Danio rerio: one gene and its partners. The protein of the gene in region 1 interacts with the protein of each later gene in a pairwise test. Links are inferred from orthologs where the notes say so. Each region holds a gene or a part of one and is shown in the gene's direction. Other genes may lie near its edges.

The links.
Region 2: the proteins of sumo1 (region 1) and sox2 interact in binary tests that used the Homo sapiens proteins (3 or more experiments, as listed by UniProt). The two-hybrid records come from large-scale screens. The link is inferred for Danio rerio from reciprocal best matches to the Homo sapiens genes SUMO1 and SOX2.
Region 3: the proteins of sumo1 (region 1) and sall1a interact in a two-hybrid assay, tested with the Homo sapiens proteins (2 studies listed by BioGRID, with this or other methods). The link is inferred for Danio rerio from reciprocal best matches to the Homo sapiens genes SUMO1 and SALL1.
Region 4: the proteins of sumo1 (region 1) and zcchc7 interact in binary tests that used the Homo sapiens proteins (3 or more experiments, as listed by UniProt). The link is inferred for Danio rerio from reciprocal best matches to the Homo sapiens genes SUMO1 and ZCCHC7.

Annotation. Positions count from the first base shown.
Region 1 is NC_133181.1:10,603,363-10,607,414, forward strand, and holds the start of sumo1 (small ubiquitin-related modifier 1), read left to right. Parts: upstream 1-1,252; 5' UTR 1,253-1,354; coding exon 1,355-1,366; intron 1,367-2,132; coding exon 2,133-2,204; intron 2,205-2,346; coding exon 2,347-2,424; intron 2,425-4,052. UniProt on the Homo sapiens protein: Ubiquitin-like protein that can be covalently attached to proteins as a monomer or a lysine-linked polymer.
Region 2 is NC_133197.1:39,474,721-39,478,748, reverse strand, and holds sox2 (transcription factor Sox-2), read left to right. Parts: upstream 1-1,442; 5' UTR 1,443-1,665; coding exon 1,666-2,613; 3' UTR 2,614-3,528; downstream 3,529-4,028. UniProt on the Homo sapiens protein: Transcription factor that forms a trimeric complex with OCT4 on DNA and controls the expression of a number of genes involved in embryonic development such as YES1, FGF4, UTF1 and ZFP206. Binds to the proximal enhancer region of NANOG.
Region 3 is NC_133182.1:37,584,707-37,588,804, forward strand, and holds the start of sall1a (sal-like protein 1a), read left to right. Parts: upstream 1-1,298; 5' UTR 1,299-1,327; coding exon 1,328-1,400; intron 1,401-4,098. UniProt on the Homo sapiens protein: Transcriptional repressor involved in organogenesis. Plays an essential role in ureteric bud invasion during kidney development.
Region 4 is NC_133176.1:23,284,506-23,288,756, reverse strand, and holds the start of zcchc7 (zinc finger CCHC domain-containing protein 7), read left to right. Parts: upstream 1-1,451; 5' UTR 1,452-2,010; intron 2,011-4,251.

The DNA of each region.
Region 1 (4,052 bases):
TAATGAGGATGATGATGATGATGATGATGATGATGATGATGATGATGATGATGATGATGATGATGATAATAATAATATACTAAACAAAAGTTTTGTAAAAAAAAAAGATATTTAAATGTTTTAGACAAAAAGATGAATAAACAATTATAATATGAAATATTATTTCAATTTTAAATATCTGTATTGTTGTATGTAAATATGTTTAATATTCCAATGAGAGTTCAGAATTTGTTATGGTCAATTTTACTTGGTGCTCTATGATTAATAATAATTCTGCTTGATATTTCTGTTAAATACACAATACATTCAGCTTTCTAAAATTCTCAGAAGAAACTGTATTTGAAATAAAATGTTCAGTAACATTATACAGATTTTTTATATTACCTTTGATCCACTGAATTAGTCTTAATGTCTTTTTTAAAATCTATGGCATTAAAAGTTATAAATACATAAAATAAACGATTTATTGTTTTATTTATGCAGGAATTTGCGAATTTATTAACTAATTGATTTTTTATTTGCATATTAATTTATTGTTTTATTTATTTATTGCTTTATTTATTTACTTTATTTATTCATTGCTTTTTATTTTTTATCTTTTTAATTTGTGTATTTATTTTGTACATTTGTTTATTTATTTAGCATGTTTATTTATTGTTTTATTTATGCAGGAATTTGTCTATTTATTTATTAATTTATTTGTGTATTTATTTATTTATTGTTTTATTTATGCAAGAATTTGTATTTATTTATTTTTTGTGTATTTATTTATTTATTGTTTTATTTACACAGGGATTTGAGTATTTATTCATTTATTCGTGTAGTTATTTATTAATTATTTTATTTATGTAGGAACTTGTGTATATATTTAGTCATTTATTTATTTATTTATTTGCGTATTTATTTACTGTTTTATTTATGAAGGAATTTGTACATGTGTTAATTAATTTATTTATTTGCGTATTTATTTATTTGTTGCTTTTGCAGGTTTCGTCCTCCAGAGGTGTAGTGTAGTTGTCACATTATTTTTGCACTCTAATATTTCGTGACCAAAATACTGATGTGTTTTTTTTTTTTTTTTTTTTGCAAAATACGGGCCTCCCTATGTTTTACCAATAGCAACATCGCAGATGGCGATTGGAGCCAATCAGAAAGAGCGTGGTGAGAAAAACAACGCTCGTTGGGTCATCGACCCAGTGTCATAGAAAGTCCAGCCCCTTTCCAATGACGTCAACGGCGCTGTGTTGTGGGTCTGCTGGTAGCACTATCAAAACCTCTCATTACTGTACATAACACTGTATCGTTTAAATCAAACAATCTTGATCTACAGAAGGGCTGCACATTGCGGAATATCATGTCAGACACGGTGAGTCTAAACCTGTGATGCTGAATCGAACTTTCATGAGAGCAGACGAGAAAGACGGACTTATAGAAAATGAAAATAAGAGGGCCCAGCTTTTAGCCTGTCTAGCTGACTGTGGTTTGGAAAGTATTTTTGATAAAAATGCTTGAGTGTTTTTAACTGTGCATAGTTTCTGGTTCTCGCAATTTACACATTAGTCCAATTTACTGTGTTCACAAATGCCAAAAATATGTGAATTTCTTCCTCAAATCGTCCAATTAGCATGTGTGCTAGTTAGCTGCTCTGGGCCCTGAAAGCAGAGTTCATAATATCTTGAGCTGATAGACCATGCTGAACATTTGAATTAGTTATTAATTGTTGATTTTTTGATATGTTCATTAGGATTATTCGTTATTTGTTCACGTTAGTTTGTGTTCGGTTTGTGCTCGTATTAACAGCTCGCGATAGAAGAGTAACGTTAGGTTGTGTGTTTACATTCAAAGCACACACACACACACACACAGCCTAGTGTTTAAATGATAACAACACTCACAATATTATTTTATATATAATATATATATATATATATATATATATATATATATATATATATATATATATATATATATATAATTATAATTTATTAAAATCGGATCTACCTTATTTTATACGATCTTCAGTCAATATTTTATTGAATTCAGTCCCAAGATATTTTTTTAATTCATTACATTAAATCTGATAAAAAAACAATATGACATGCAGTAATCGAATGCTTGTTTTGTTTTAATAGGAGACCAAGCCCTCAAGTGATGGAGGCGAGAAGAAGGATGGAGAGTACATTAAACTCAAAGTGATCGGTCAGGTGAGCAAAAGCACTTGTTTTCTAGGAAATGCAGGTTTTCATATTTAAACCCATTACTGTTTAAAACCAATCCAGCTGTTCTTTTATAATGAGATATATGAAAAGATCTGAACAGATTTGATGATTTCCTTTCATTTCGCAGGACAACAGTGAAATTCACTTTAAAGTGAAGATGACGACACATTTAAAGAAGCTGAAGGAATCCTACAGTCAGAGACAGGTGAGTCAGTTTTTCCATTTATGAGGGATAACGATAAATCTACACTACCATTCAGAGGTTTTGGGGGGTGGGTAGGATTTTTAAAAAACGCACTAATGCTACTTTTATTCAATCAAAAATGCATAAAATCTGTATTATTGTGAGTATTGTTACAAATAGAAATACACTAACACTGTAAAAATCTTAACTGTGATCAAATTAATGCGTCATTGCCGAAACAAAAAACAATGTTTAAATAGTTGTGTATGTTTCAGTTAAGGTTCCTGAGGTCTCATTTATAAAACATTGCATAGAAACTTTCCTAAAAGTGAATGTACACCAGAATACATTTTTATTTATTTATTAATTATTATGGCTTTTATGATGATTTAAAGTGCTTGAATTAAGTCAATATTTAAGCGAAATGTGTTTACTTAAAGCTGCGCACATTCTCCCGTCAAGTTTGTTTTTTATAGATCATAATAACCTGTATAAGAAGTGGCGTACACGTGTTTCCACCCCCAATTTTGTGTATACCATGTTTATAAATGAGACCCCTGGACAGTTTATTCTCTCTTTCAGATCAATTATTTGAACCATGTTAGTTAAAACATAAAACGTCTGTAATGATCATCTAAAGGGGGTGGAGTAACAATTTATTAAGAGGAAATTCACATTAATAGATGCTTTTAGTTTTGGTACAGAAAATATTGTTACACACAGGATATATATATATATTTTTACCCATTATGAGTTTTGGTAATAAACATTTAGTTTGCTTGCCTCGGCTTTTCTTTATCTCTGCTTTCTTAAATGAAACGCAACGACACAAGTATTTACTTTCTTTTACAAATATTATTGACAATATTCCATATCATACTCTCTGCTATTATAAATAAAACATAAACCCATTATATAATGACATGCAATCTAATTCTGAAATATATATATATATATATATATATATATATATATATATATGTATATGGTCAAAGATGTAAAAAATATATTTATATTTATCTGTTGCTTATAAAGTTACATGTTTCAGAAATTACATTTTACAAAAGTATATTTTTGTATTTAAATAAATTACTATTACAGTTTTATAAACACTCAAACCACTGCAGAAATGTTGCATATATCATATACACTAAAAAAAAAGACTTTTGCGGCTTGTTCAAAGTACTTATATATAATTAGCTGAAACTTGTGTTCTTGAGGACAACTTAATTGTTTTAAGTTAAGCCCACTTAAATTTATGAAAAAAAATTAAGTTTAATCAATTTATGATGGGCCATGTAAAAGAAATGTGTGGACCATAGCATTTTTACAGTATATTAGAGATCAATTTTCTATACAAGTTAAAATCATTACCTTAAATGTTTGTTTTAACAGTTGCTGGAAGTGTGTAAACAGGTTTTTGATTGTAAATGTAGCTTTCTTCACGAGTCACTGCTGCGTTTAAAATGGCATAAATGTTATGGGAGTGCACTATGGAGATAGCACAGTTGTCAATTTGAAGTTTATAAACTGAACTGTAATAAGAATAACTTTAATATAAAATGTGAACAAGACAACCTTTAATGTTTTTAAATGATTCAGAGTATTTGTGTTCAAATGGACAAGGGCATAGGGTGGATGATTCAGAA
Region 2 (4,028 bases), on another chromosome or scaffold:
GACTTGCATTATAAAGGCGCATGCTGCATTGCCGTCGTGTTGAAATTCTCACGTTGTTAGTCGATTTACAAGTTTAAAACGACGCTGAGAGAGTGTTTATTTATTCATGCATGCAACCCTAAAAAAATAAGTATTATTGTTGGAATTTATGTTGTTTGTTTTGTGTAATTATTATTTTTTATCTCCCGCTAATTATATAAAAAGTACAGCGACTAAAACTTATTTATAAAGCAATCCAAAATAACTGCGTGCATGTGGAAAATGTTGAGGGAGCACGAGTTTGTATCAGTGTGACCGCAAGAGGACGCTGTTGAAACATAAAACATGCTTTCGTGGAAAAGAAAAATATAAAATAGGCATTTTTTCCTCCTGACATTAAGCCTGTTTGTATATTAGTTCCACTCTTGTCGAGTAAAGTCAACTTCTGCAGGAAGAATGATCAGCTTTTAATCGTAATTCTCGGAGAATAGATGTGTTGGGCAAAAAATAGCTCCTTGTGTTTTTAGTTATTATACAAATAATTGGATTTAATCAAAGCGCCCGTGCTCTTGTTATTTTGAAGGAGGCTGTGCTGAATAAACCCTCTCCCCCTGTCACTCTTCATGGAGTGAATCCTAATAACACAAATCCTTACAACTCAGATGGTCAGTGTAGTCGGCTTTTGTCGTGCTTTTGTTCAGAGTGATGTAATGACAACAGCCGAAACAAAACTACCTATTTGTGATGATTGACGGGCCTCCATTTTCTAATTCACATTCAGCTTGAGCCGGTTGAAGTGTAGTGGCATAAATACAGGCATGTTAGTTGGGATAATGTCTCAAGAACGAGTGTTTTTAAAATGACACCTTTTAAATTCGTGCGCCTGCGTTTACTTTATTGTATTCGTTAATAAAACAAGCCGCTGCTCATTTTTAAATGCGAACTAAATAATAAATAGCTATATTTTATTCGGCTTATTCACGCATTATTTTGGAAGTTTTTAATATTATGAGCTTGCCGTTTTAACTTAAAAAAATCTTTATTTTATTTTCAGTGCTTTAAGAGTTTAACTGATGTGTTGAATACGCAAACTTACACTAAAAACAAAGCGATAAATAATAATAGTAATAATAATAATAATAATAATAATAATAATAATAATAATACTAATAATAAAACTTTAAATGTTTATTTAGAATCTTAAGATCATACAGAGTTTGATTGGAAAATGGTTTGTGTGAAATATTCTCACTTTAGCTCTCTCATAAACACACACACACACACACACACTCACAGCCACTGCCTGTGGCTCTGCGCTGCACTGCTGACCGTCCGTAACCCCGCCCCTTTATGCAAACCGAGGGAGCAGACGCGCTCTGATTGGTCAGCGACAAACCCATTTATATTCGCTGACAGTCGCTCTATGAATGGTTGTCTATTAACTTGTTCAAAAAGTATCAGGAGTTGACAAGGGCTCTGGCGAGGAGGGAAACCGAGTTTGTGTTGATTCTTCAAGACTAAGAAAAGAAGTTTGTGGGCACAACAGGACCTAAGAGCGCTTCTTTTCCCAGCAAAGTTACCTCCAACTGCTAAGGTAACTTCAGCAGCCTCTCCACACACTTTTTGGACTTCTTTATTTTTTATTTTTACGGCTGGTGGGGTAGACTTTCGAGAAAATCGGTTTAAATGTATAACATGATGGAAACCGAGCTGAAGCCCCCGGCGCCCCAGCCCAACACCGGGGGCACGGGGAACACCAACTCCTCGGGAAACAACCAGAAAAACAGCCCGGACCGCATCAAGAGACCCATGAACGCCTTCATGGTGTGGTCGAGGGGACAGCGGCGGAAAATGGCACAGGAGAACCCCAAAATGCACAATTCGGAAATAAGTAAGCGACTCGGGGCCGAGTGGAAACTTCTGTCCGAGAGCGAGAAGCGACCATTCATCGACGAAGCCAAACGCCTTCGGGCTCTGCACATGAAGGAACACCCGGATTACAAATACAGACCCCGGAGGAAAACCAAGACCCTGATGAAGAAGGACAAGTACACCCTGCCGGGCGGGCTCCTGGCGCCGGGCGGCAACGGCATGGGCGCCGGCGTGGGTGTAGGGGCCGGTTTGGGCGCCGGGGTCAACCAGAGGATGGACAGCTACGCGCATATGAACGGCTGGACCAACGGAGGCTACGGCATGATGCAGGAGCAGCTGGGTTACCCGCAGCACCCGAGTTTGAACGCGCACAACACGGCGCAGATGCAGCCCATGCACCGCTACGACATGAGCGCGCTCCAGTACAACTCCATGACCAACTCGCAGACCTACATGAACGGCTCGCCCACCTACAGCATGTCCTATTCGCAGCAAAGCACGCCGGGAATGACGCTGGGCTCCATGGGCTCGGTGGTCAAGTCCGAGTCTAGTTCGAGTCCGCCGGTGGTCACGTCGTCGTCTCATTCCCGGGCCGGACAGTGCCAAACGGGGGACCTGCGGGACATGATCAGTATGTACCTGCCCGGGGCGGAGGTGCAGGACCAGAGCGCTCAGAGCAGACTGCACATGTCCCAACATTACCAGAGCGCACCTGTGCCCGGTACGACGATTAACGGCACGATTCCCTTATCGCATATGTAAAATGAACTCTTTTTACTACACTGCTGGACTATTTTTGTACAGAACACTTCTTTTGGGGAGGGAAAAAGTTGTATAGAGCTCAAGGAAAGAACACAAAACTTTTGCTTTCTATTTAAAAAACAAACAAACAAACAAACAAACAAACTAAAAAAAAGAGGAACGGTAGGAACTCCACACAGTTTTTGTTTTGTTCTCTTCTGATTTATTTTATTATTTTTTTAATTTAGATTTTTCAGTTCTGTTTTGTTTCCAAAAGGTGTATGAGATTTGGACATGGTTGACAAGCGGGGGGAGAATGAATCAAATGTTTTATTATTGCAATCGACTTTTTGTACAGTATTTATCTAAAAAAAGAAGCGTAATAACAACAACGAGATGTAATGTTTGTAAACAGCAGAAAGTTTTAAAAAAATTATAAAAAATTGTGCAAGAAATTGATGCACAACTGATGTTTACGTCAAAGTTTTGCAAAGGCTGACATGAAAACTGGATTTAAAGAGTTTCTCACTGAAGGTACATAGTAATAAATCATTATTATTATTATTATTATTATTATTATTATTATTATTATTATTATTATTAAGTTCTAAATGAGAGAACGAACAGAGGCACTCTCCAGCTTTTTTTAATTTCCACTTGATTATTTTCGGTCTCCCACTCTTCATCTGTTAGATATATGAAGTTTGTGTTCTTTATTTTCTCATGGTTTGTAAATTTTCTGTACATTTTCTGTGATATTTTAAGTTTTTATTTTAAAACTTTCATTTTTCGTAGTTGTAAAATGTGGCCTGTACGCAGTTGCCAACGCTCCATGTATATATTTTAACTAATAACATCATTATAACAGTTACAAGATGAGTTTTTTTTCCAATGCAGTTTGAAATGAATAAATTTTTGAAATTTGGATATTTGAAATTGCTTCTGGTTTTGATTTTGTTTACCATTTGGGTTGCAATTCTAATATGATATTTGTTGTTTGATTTACTCAAACAAAACAAACGAAAATGTCACTTATACGGTTTAATAATGTGCATTCACTAACTCTAGCTCAAACAAATGATTAACCACAAGTTTATGCATTATTTGCATTAATTTGTCTTTATAAGATGGCACACTGACACACGAGTGCAGCTTTTTGAAAGTAAGTATTCCATTGAAATTGCATGCACACGGTTAAAACTGTCTGGCTTTGTTGTTTCAGTCAAACAAATGAAATGTTAGATGCTATTTAAATTTAGTGAGTTAACACCGTTTCTATTTTTTAGTGGAAACGAGGAGCGACACCACAGCGTTTATGTTTTGCCTGTAAATCTCTGCTCTGCTTGGGGACATAAAACGGCCCAAATGCAATGAAGAACGCACGTCAAGGTAGTCATTTACTTTATAAACTCTCTATATTTTTTATATGAGTGCAA
Region 3 (4,098 bases), on another chromosome or scaffold:
TGGCTCTTTTATACAAACTTTTGATTTTTGCAAATAAACTATTTAAAACTTGTTAATATAGCTAGCTTATAGCACAAGTCCTCGTCTTAAGAATAAGTAGTTTAAACAACGACGTAGTTTTCATCCTGGTTAAACTGACTCTTAATGGCACACCGTCGTTTCCAAACACTTTCTTGATGGTTTCCAGACTTTTTCAACTTTTTGCGACTTCTACATTTTATCAATGCAGATTCGAGCTCTCTCTTCTCCACGACCGCCTCGAAACGTAAAAAGCGAAATATATATTGAGCGAAATCATTTTCAAACAGGCTGGATGGGATGCTTTCGCGCAGCTGAAGAGTTGCGCTGTGAACCACGAGCGCTTCCTCTGTCTGCCGGTCGCGCGGTGAGAGAGTGAAGGAGAGGTGGGTGCGAGACCGAGAGGGACAGAGAGCGCGAGTTATGATAGAGCAGAGCACTGGCCAATAGAAGAACAGAGGGGTGGGGCTCGGGATTTCTCACCGTTCTGCATGGGCCCTTAAAGTTTGTTTGTTCGCTGAATGCGGCGTGTGATGAAAACGTGTTACTGATCCCGTTCGGCAATAATCAGATGAATCTGATTTGGGACATCTGATATATTCTTTGGACTTTCGAGACGCCGATAGTTGCCATTACGCACGAAACTCGGCTGACCGACCTACTTTTAACACCGTTGCCTTGAGGAAAGAGAGCGAATTGGTGAGAAACGGTGCGCTTGCAGTCATCCAGGAGCTGAATTACAGCAACTTTAATGCCAATCACAAACCAGGATACGCGATACGCTCCGAAACGTCAAGCCACGGGAAAGGAAGATCTTTGGCAGAGAGTTTGAGTCTCCGGACACTTTTGGGTGAATTGCAACTTTTGAGCGCCACTTTGATGCCCAGACAGATCAAAAGATACGGTTGGTCTTTCGAAAGAGAAATTGACATTCCTGTAGTGGCTAAGTTAAGCTCTAACGTGGCCACCAGATGGTTGCTAAGAAGGGTTAAACTGTATCTAAAGGGAGTTGGAAAATCCAGCCTTTCTTCCTCACGGATCAACTCATTGGGTGGGAGCAGCAAGAGAGACAAGAGTCCCCAGCAAATCAGCGGCTAATTGATTAAAGAGACTTCATTTGAATAGGGGGCTGGCAAGGTGCCAATCGCCTTTCAGAGGACCCCCCACCCCCCTCCCTTCCATGATTAATCGCGAGGCATTATTGATAATCATAACAGGACACATGCGCGGTGGATGGGCTCGATTTCCGTAATTTTGAGCAGATTTGATAGTAATTTTTTATTCTTTCGTGGCTGATGCGTGAGCCAGCATGTCGCGGAGGAAACAAGCGAAGCCGCAGCATTTCCAGTCCGACTCGCAGCTGGTCCTAGCCGAGCACAATGGTGAGTTCAAGCCCTTATTACACACAGCAACTCAGTTTGCACTATTTTCACAAAGGATTTATAACTTAATTTTAATTATTGTTGGTTTTAACATTTTTAGAGTGAATCCCCCTTGTTTTTAATCCCAGGCAAGGAACTGGTCATCGTATTCTTTCTTTATAGCTAATATTTGTGCTGCTGAAGGGACTGCTGTATTTTTAAAGTACAGTTGGAAACTTTTAGACTTCCCGTGCTATTGTCAGAAATCAGTTTGTGCTTAACACAAAGGCACTTTTACGCATGTTCTGTGTGATATTCTTCAATGAACAAACATATTTCTGCAATTATTGTTTATTTATTAACAAATTGGTTTCCAGTTGTAATTTGGGTGACGTTTGCGCGTTACTTTATTTTTTAAGGCTTTCAAATTTCACCATACAGCATTCATTGGCAAAAGTTAAAACTCATCGAATTAGTTTGGTTCTGGCCCGTTTAAGTTGCCCACACAAGTGGGGATTCGCATGGTTTCAGCTTTTCCCCCTCCTCCTCTCTTGTGTTGCATCTCTAGACCTCGGTACCGCCAAAACACACAGAAACGACATTAAACCTATTATTTAAACAATTCTTTTATTTTGTGTATAGTTTTACACAGTTTTATCTCAGTGGCACACTGTTCCTGTCGCGCTCCGTTATCAAAGATTATATAATGCTAACTTTTATAAACGTTGGTTAAATCAACGAAACTTTTTTTATTAAAATATTTTACTATTATTTCTCAGGTTTCTTAAACTTTAAAAGAGGTATATAGTAAACCGAATCAAAGTTAAACAGCATGTAGTCACAGGCGATCGAACAACGAAATCACATAATCTCATGTAATCGAGCTTTTCTATTATGACTTCATACTTATATAATTTTGTTTCTTTTTTGCGTCATTATAAATTCTGTCTTATACAATAGACGGATTTTGAAAACACGCTTTAATATTTTCACGTGCAGTTTTAAATGCGTTTTAAAATGAGATTTTATATCAAGAGCTGATTTACTAAACTGTGCCATGTAGTTTCCGACACACTCTGTCCCACACTGTGACACAACTCATCTCTCAAAGCCTACCGTGCGTTGACAACTTTTAAAGCATCAGTTTATACACATTTAGGCTAAACAAATGAAAATCCAAAATTATGAATTTGTTATTTTACTTTGAATATATAAGTAACGACATGAACCTAACTATAAGTATGCTTTTTTCTAATAGCATATGCTCTCATGCTAAATTTAATTCAATAGTTTTTTAATATGTGAGAAGATTTCAGCTTCAAGTCAGACAAGCAGTCACTAAAGGTTTTGCAAGAGCCGTTGACTACAAATTTAGGTCTTATATGCTACCTGTTTTACTACTTCTAAACTGCACATATCAAAGGCCGTCTCAGGTCTATAAAAAGAATAGAAAGGGCATACTGAACATTTTGATCACTTAGTGTCTTGTTTGAACCATTTTAAAACGAGTGTGTCGGGGGAACTGTCCTATCTATTGCTTAACTCAGCGTTTTGTAAGCTATCATGTTTCTGATTAGAATGGGACCTCTGAAGAGGTAAGGATTTTATTTCATATCGAAACTGCATCCAACTAATTTTCTAATAAAAAAAATATCTATTTTAATCAGTTTTATCTTAAATATTCCGTTCTGGATTATTTGATTTACCAGAAGTGACATACTTGTATGCTAAAGAGAAAGTATGCCATAGAAATAAAGCACTTTTCTTTGACTGCGGCTTACCTTCAGTTCTTACAAGATTCATAGAGACATTAATGACTGGCACATCGCGATTATTAATACTTCAAATAACACTTGAATTCAACATTGTTTACGCCTTCCATCTTCACTTTAAATTGACTAATCAAGTCTTCTAAATGAAAATAAAATAAACGGCTTTTTGTTCAATTTCATGGGCCGCTGTGGACACCAGTTGCTATTAGAAGACATAACTTTCAGAGGCTTTCCTTAATGTGTTGATGTTCGATTATATGAAATATAAATATAGACAAATTTATCAGTACTATTAATTAGTCTAAATCATCCACAGAATTTTATAAAAAATATTTTCGCTGATATAATTGATGAGATGCAATAATAATTACACCCTCTTATTTTACCATATAGCCCTCTTAATTTGAGAACATGCATGTGCAGCAATCAGCTCGATGTTATTAAAAATTAATACGAGAACAGGCCCAGATTTGCAAAAGTAGTTGTTTGGCGTCTTCCGTGAGAAATGCATTCAAAAGTGAAGTTTATGTGATTAATGCTAGAATTTCAGAAACGAAAAAACAAATCTTCAAAATCATGCCATTGCTGGATTTTCCCGTTCAAATTTAATAATGAATTGAATAGCAGTGTTTGTCAACCGCTGTCATCTGACCAAGTTCACATTTTTGCAAAAAAAAAAAAGCTCATTCAAAGCAAGAGGCGAACTGATTTTTTTAGATACATTGTTATACTGCTATATTTTTTAATTCACCATTTCTTAATAACGCTTTGTTTTTCGTAACTCTTAGTGTAAAACAAAACTTAATGAGTACAGAAAAAACTCCCCTTTAGTGTCTGCTCTCCTGAGGAAAACTAAGCTGATTTTCTCCCAATGCTTTGCGGCCTGTGTGAGGAATTAGAAAGCAGTATTACGGTTAGTCTGAGGTGAGAAGTCTGTCCCTGTTGGC
Region 4 (4,251 bases), on another chromosome or scaffold:
GTTGCGGCTGGAAGGGCATCCGCTGCGTAAAAACTTGCTGGATAAATTGGCGGTTCTTTCCGCTGTGGTGATCCCGGATTAATAAAGGGACTAAGTCGACAAGAAAATGAATGAATGAATAAATTGGCCGTAGTGTATGTGTGTGAATGCAAAAGTGTATGGGTGTTTCCCAGTGTTGGGTTAGGCTGGAAGGGCATCCGCTGCGCAAAACATATGCTGAATAAGTTGGTGGTTCAATCCACTGTGGCGACCCCAGATTAATAAAGGGAATAAGCCAAAAAGAAGATTAATAAATGAATGAAATTTCAATTAAACCACATACTTCTACAAGAAGTAACAATGTTGGCTTTTTATTTCAGATGTGAACTTAAAAGTTGGGAACATAGAGATGCATCAAATTAAATTTAATATATTTATTTTATATAGAAAGCAGAGTTTTGAATTATTGTTTTAAATAATTTGAAACAATAAAATGCTATAGAGGGTAAATCTATTTTACATAAATTACTTTTAAGGGTAAAACTCAGGTTAGTGTAATAAAAAAAGATCCTTACCTTTTAACTTTACTCCTTATTCCTTCACCTAAATGTGAGATGAAAGTTGAGGGGTTAAATTAAGTCTTTTGATATGTCATGAAATTATTGTTTGAAATATGTTTAAAAAGTTTTTTTTTTTTTTTTGTAACAGTGAAGGAGCTGAAAAAAAGTTACAATACACATAATATGTATTTTAATATATGAGCACTTGTTCTCATATTTCATATTTGTTAGGAAACAATGTTATGTTCTTATATTTTCTGGTCACATATTTATTTCTATTTCTATGTACATAATTATATCATTCTTGTTTTGTTTTTAAGAAGTTTTTTGTACTATATTGTCCATTGTTAAAAACCAATAGTGACAAAACATTATTATTATTAGGCTATTAATAGCAAAATAAGCTAAACGTGTATCAATGTTCATGACAATGAATCAAATTTAGTAAATTTTTTATCTACTCTGTAAAATTTTCTCATGCCTACAGTAGGTTACATTTCAGGGACCACTGGCTCTTATTCTATCTTGTATAAAAGAAAATACAAGTAAGAACAATTCATATTCCAAATGCTCTCCTATTAACACCACGATCAGACATAGTTGTAGTTTTTTAAAACAATCCTCATATTCAGAGTCACTAATTTTCGATGCTTGTGCTAAATTTAGTTCATTTTTCCCAGGGATGACGAATAGTTGGCCAACCATTTCATGTTCCTGTGGAGTCCGGAAGCCAGTAGTGTCCCGTGTTGCAAATCGGAATTTATAAACAGGTCAGATTTTTAATCAGTCTGGTAGTAAACCTGTTCAAACGTGCCATTTGATGTAGCTGAGGTTATAAATGTTTTTAAACGACGCCGTGTCCGTGTAGTAGTAATGCGACGCGTCTCAGCCGGCGTCCATGTGTACGTGAACACACGTGGGTCTCCGAGCAGCACTTCTAGCACTGAAGCTAACACATGCTTGTCAGATTCGTGTAAAATATATATCCGCGTACATTTAATGTTGTTGAAGGACAAGTGTTTTGTTGACTTGCTGGTTTTATGCAGATATTTAGTGTTGCGGATGGTCTGACGTTGTTGGTTTTTATTGGGTGCTTTAGCTTTTCAGTTAGCATAGTGTCAATTCACTGTGGTGTTGTTTATGTGTTAAATCAGATGAGTTTATGTTTTTTGGAATTGTTTTTATGGATTTGAGGACACAAATCTCTGTCTAGGACTAATGTGGTGTTGTCAAACAGTCTCCATTTCAACTACATGCTTTTGTGCAAATATGCAAACAAACAAACAGATAAAAATGTTATTGTTATACTAGTATGTCAAAATATTTGTCCTCGAATACTCGTAAAATAATCTGACAGTGACCAAACTAAACGTTATGTTTATGTCATATTACTTTGCTTTGTAAACAGAGATCATGTATGTTATGGCCACGTTATACATGTAAACATCACTTTCGAGGGACTGTAGTGTATGTACGTTATACTGTTTTAAATTGGTCTCATATAAGCTGTTCAAGTGTGTCACGAAAGCTCTAGAGCATTTGTTTGTAAGTTTGATTAGCATTTATGGTGGTTGAACATATTAAATAAAGTTAAGTAAATAATTAAGTTGGTTTTATATTTGCATATTCTGAAATTTTCCTTAATATAATTTCAGAAAAGTATTATTAAATTCTGAATAGGAAAATCAGATTAGCAGCCAATAACTTTTAAAATACATCATTGTTTACATTCAATTAAATAGTTTTCATGTTGTTTTAAAGTCATACTTGCATGCGATTTCAGATAGAATATTCAAAGTACTTAGCTGGGTAAACAATTAGGGGACAGTTATATAGAGTATATAAGTTATTATAACACATATTAATATGTGAATATAAAACCAACTTTACCTCAGTGTTGAACATATGATGAGAACAATATTGTGTATTGTTAATCTTTGTTTTTTTTATGTTTTTGGAGAGTAAGTAAAATACATTTGTGTTTAGTTCCTAGTCTTTTTTTTCTTTAGCTTTTATATATACTGCATAAAATAATTATAACAAATGTAGAGTTCCCAAATAAATCTGCAGATGTTTTTGTATCATGCAGACTATTTCAGCAAGATATAGTAAATATATGCATCATGCGTTATTTTTGTTGAATATTCTTACAGTGATTTTGTTTGTGATTATAACATGTCTCTTGACAAATTTTATTTATGTTTATTAATGTAATAATCATAATAAGATAATCAATTATCTTATAGGCTAATAAAAACTGTGAAGGTGCAAACATTGAGAAAACACAATGGTCAGCATAACAGCAGGTTGAAATGTAATACGGCCCCATTTGATTGGCCAAATTTGGATAAACAACTTATTTATGCAACACAAAATCTTGGCGCATATGCTATTATTTTGATAATGATAAATCTACAATATATTGGGCAGCCCTGTTGCTGAAAAAAGCTTGTAAGCTTTGTCATACTCTTAAGAGGACTAAAGTGAAAGCATTTAAGTGCTCACTGTAATTCATTACATAATACCATTACTTTAACTTGCTCTCGGAATGTGTTCATTAAAAATATATAAAGGTGTATTGTAGTTTCTTTTTATATGTTATTTCTACTTCTCACAATCATTTGTAATTACAGATTCAAGTAAAGAAAAAAATTTAAGCATTTGCGATTTTAAGGCTGTTGAGTTTACAGTGGGCTTTAAATGACGCGTGTATAGTGTGCAATGATGTGAAAATAGTTAATAATAAATCATGAATTGATTTAGGATTTAAAATGTTTTACTTTGCAAAAATTTTTAAATAAAACATTGTTATTAATATTATTTTTGAATAAGATAAAATATTAGTGGGCGGCGTGTGGGTTTCCTCTGGGTGCTCCGGTTTCCCTCACACAAGTTTAAAGACATGTGCTACTACAGGTGAATTGGGTAATCTAAATTGTTCATAGTGTGTGTGAATGAGTGTATGGGTGCTTCCTAGTGATGGGTTGCTGCTGGAAGGGCATCTGCTGCGTAAAACGTGCTGGATAAGTTTGTGGTTCATTCCGCTGTGACGACCCCTAATTAATAAAGGGACTAAGTAAAAAAAAAATGAATAAAATATCAGTCAGTCAATCAATAAGGAATAGATATTTATGCTTATTATTCTATTTAATATTAATTATAATTTATAAATGTTCAAAAAGCATCAAAACAATAAATATGCAGCAAAAACATTTTTGTTGCATTAAAATGTTTAATTTTTATCATACACATTTATTTTAATTTATACATTTATTTATTTGGCAAGTTTACAACAAGGAAACTGAATATTTAGCAACACAACAAATCACTAATTGAGAATTAAAGTGTATTCCCAAAATCCAAATTTAATTGTAATTTTCCAAACAGGTGTCATACATTCAAAAAAACACCAAAAAAAGAGGATTTTTGCTGCTTGTTCAAACTACTTATTTAAAATAAGATGAATAAACACAATTCTTATGGGGTACACCTAATTGTTTTATGTTCAGTTCATTTAAATTTGTAAAAATAATTAGGTTAACTTGCGGTTGGGATATTTTATTAGGAATTTTGTGGCAGTGGCGCCCAATATTTTAACAGTGTATCCCAGTTGTTAGCAAAATGTAAACACTAAAAAAAGTGTAAATGATGAACAATCAGAGCAAAGTTGAAATTAGATCAACAAAATGTCTATAATAATAATTACAGTAAA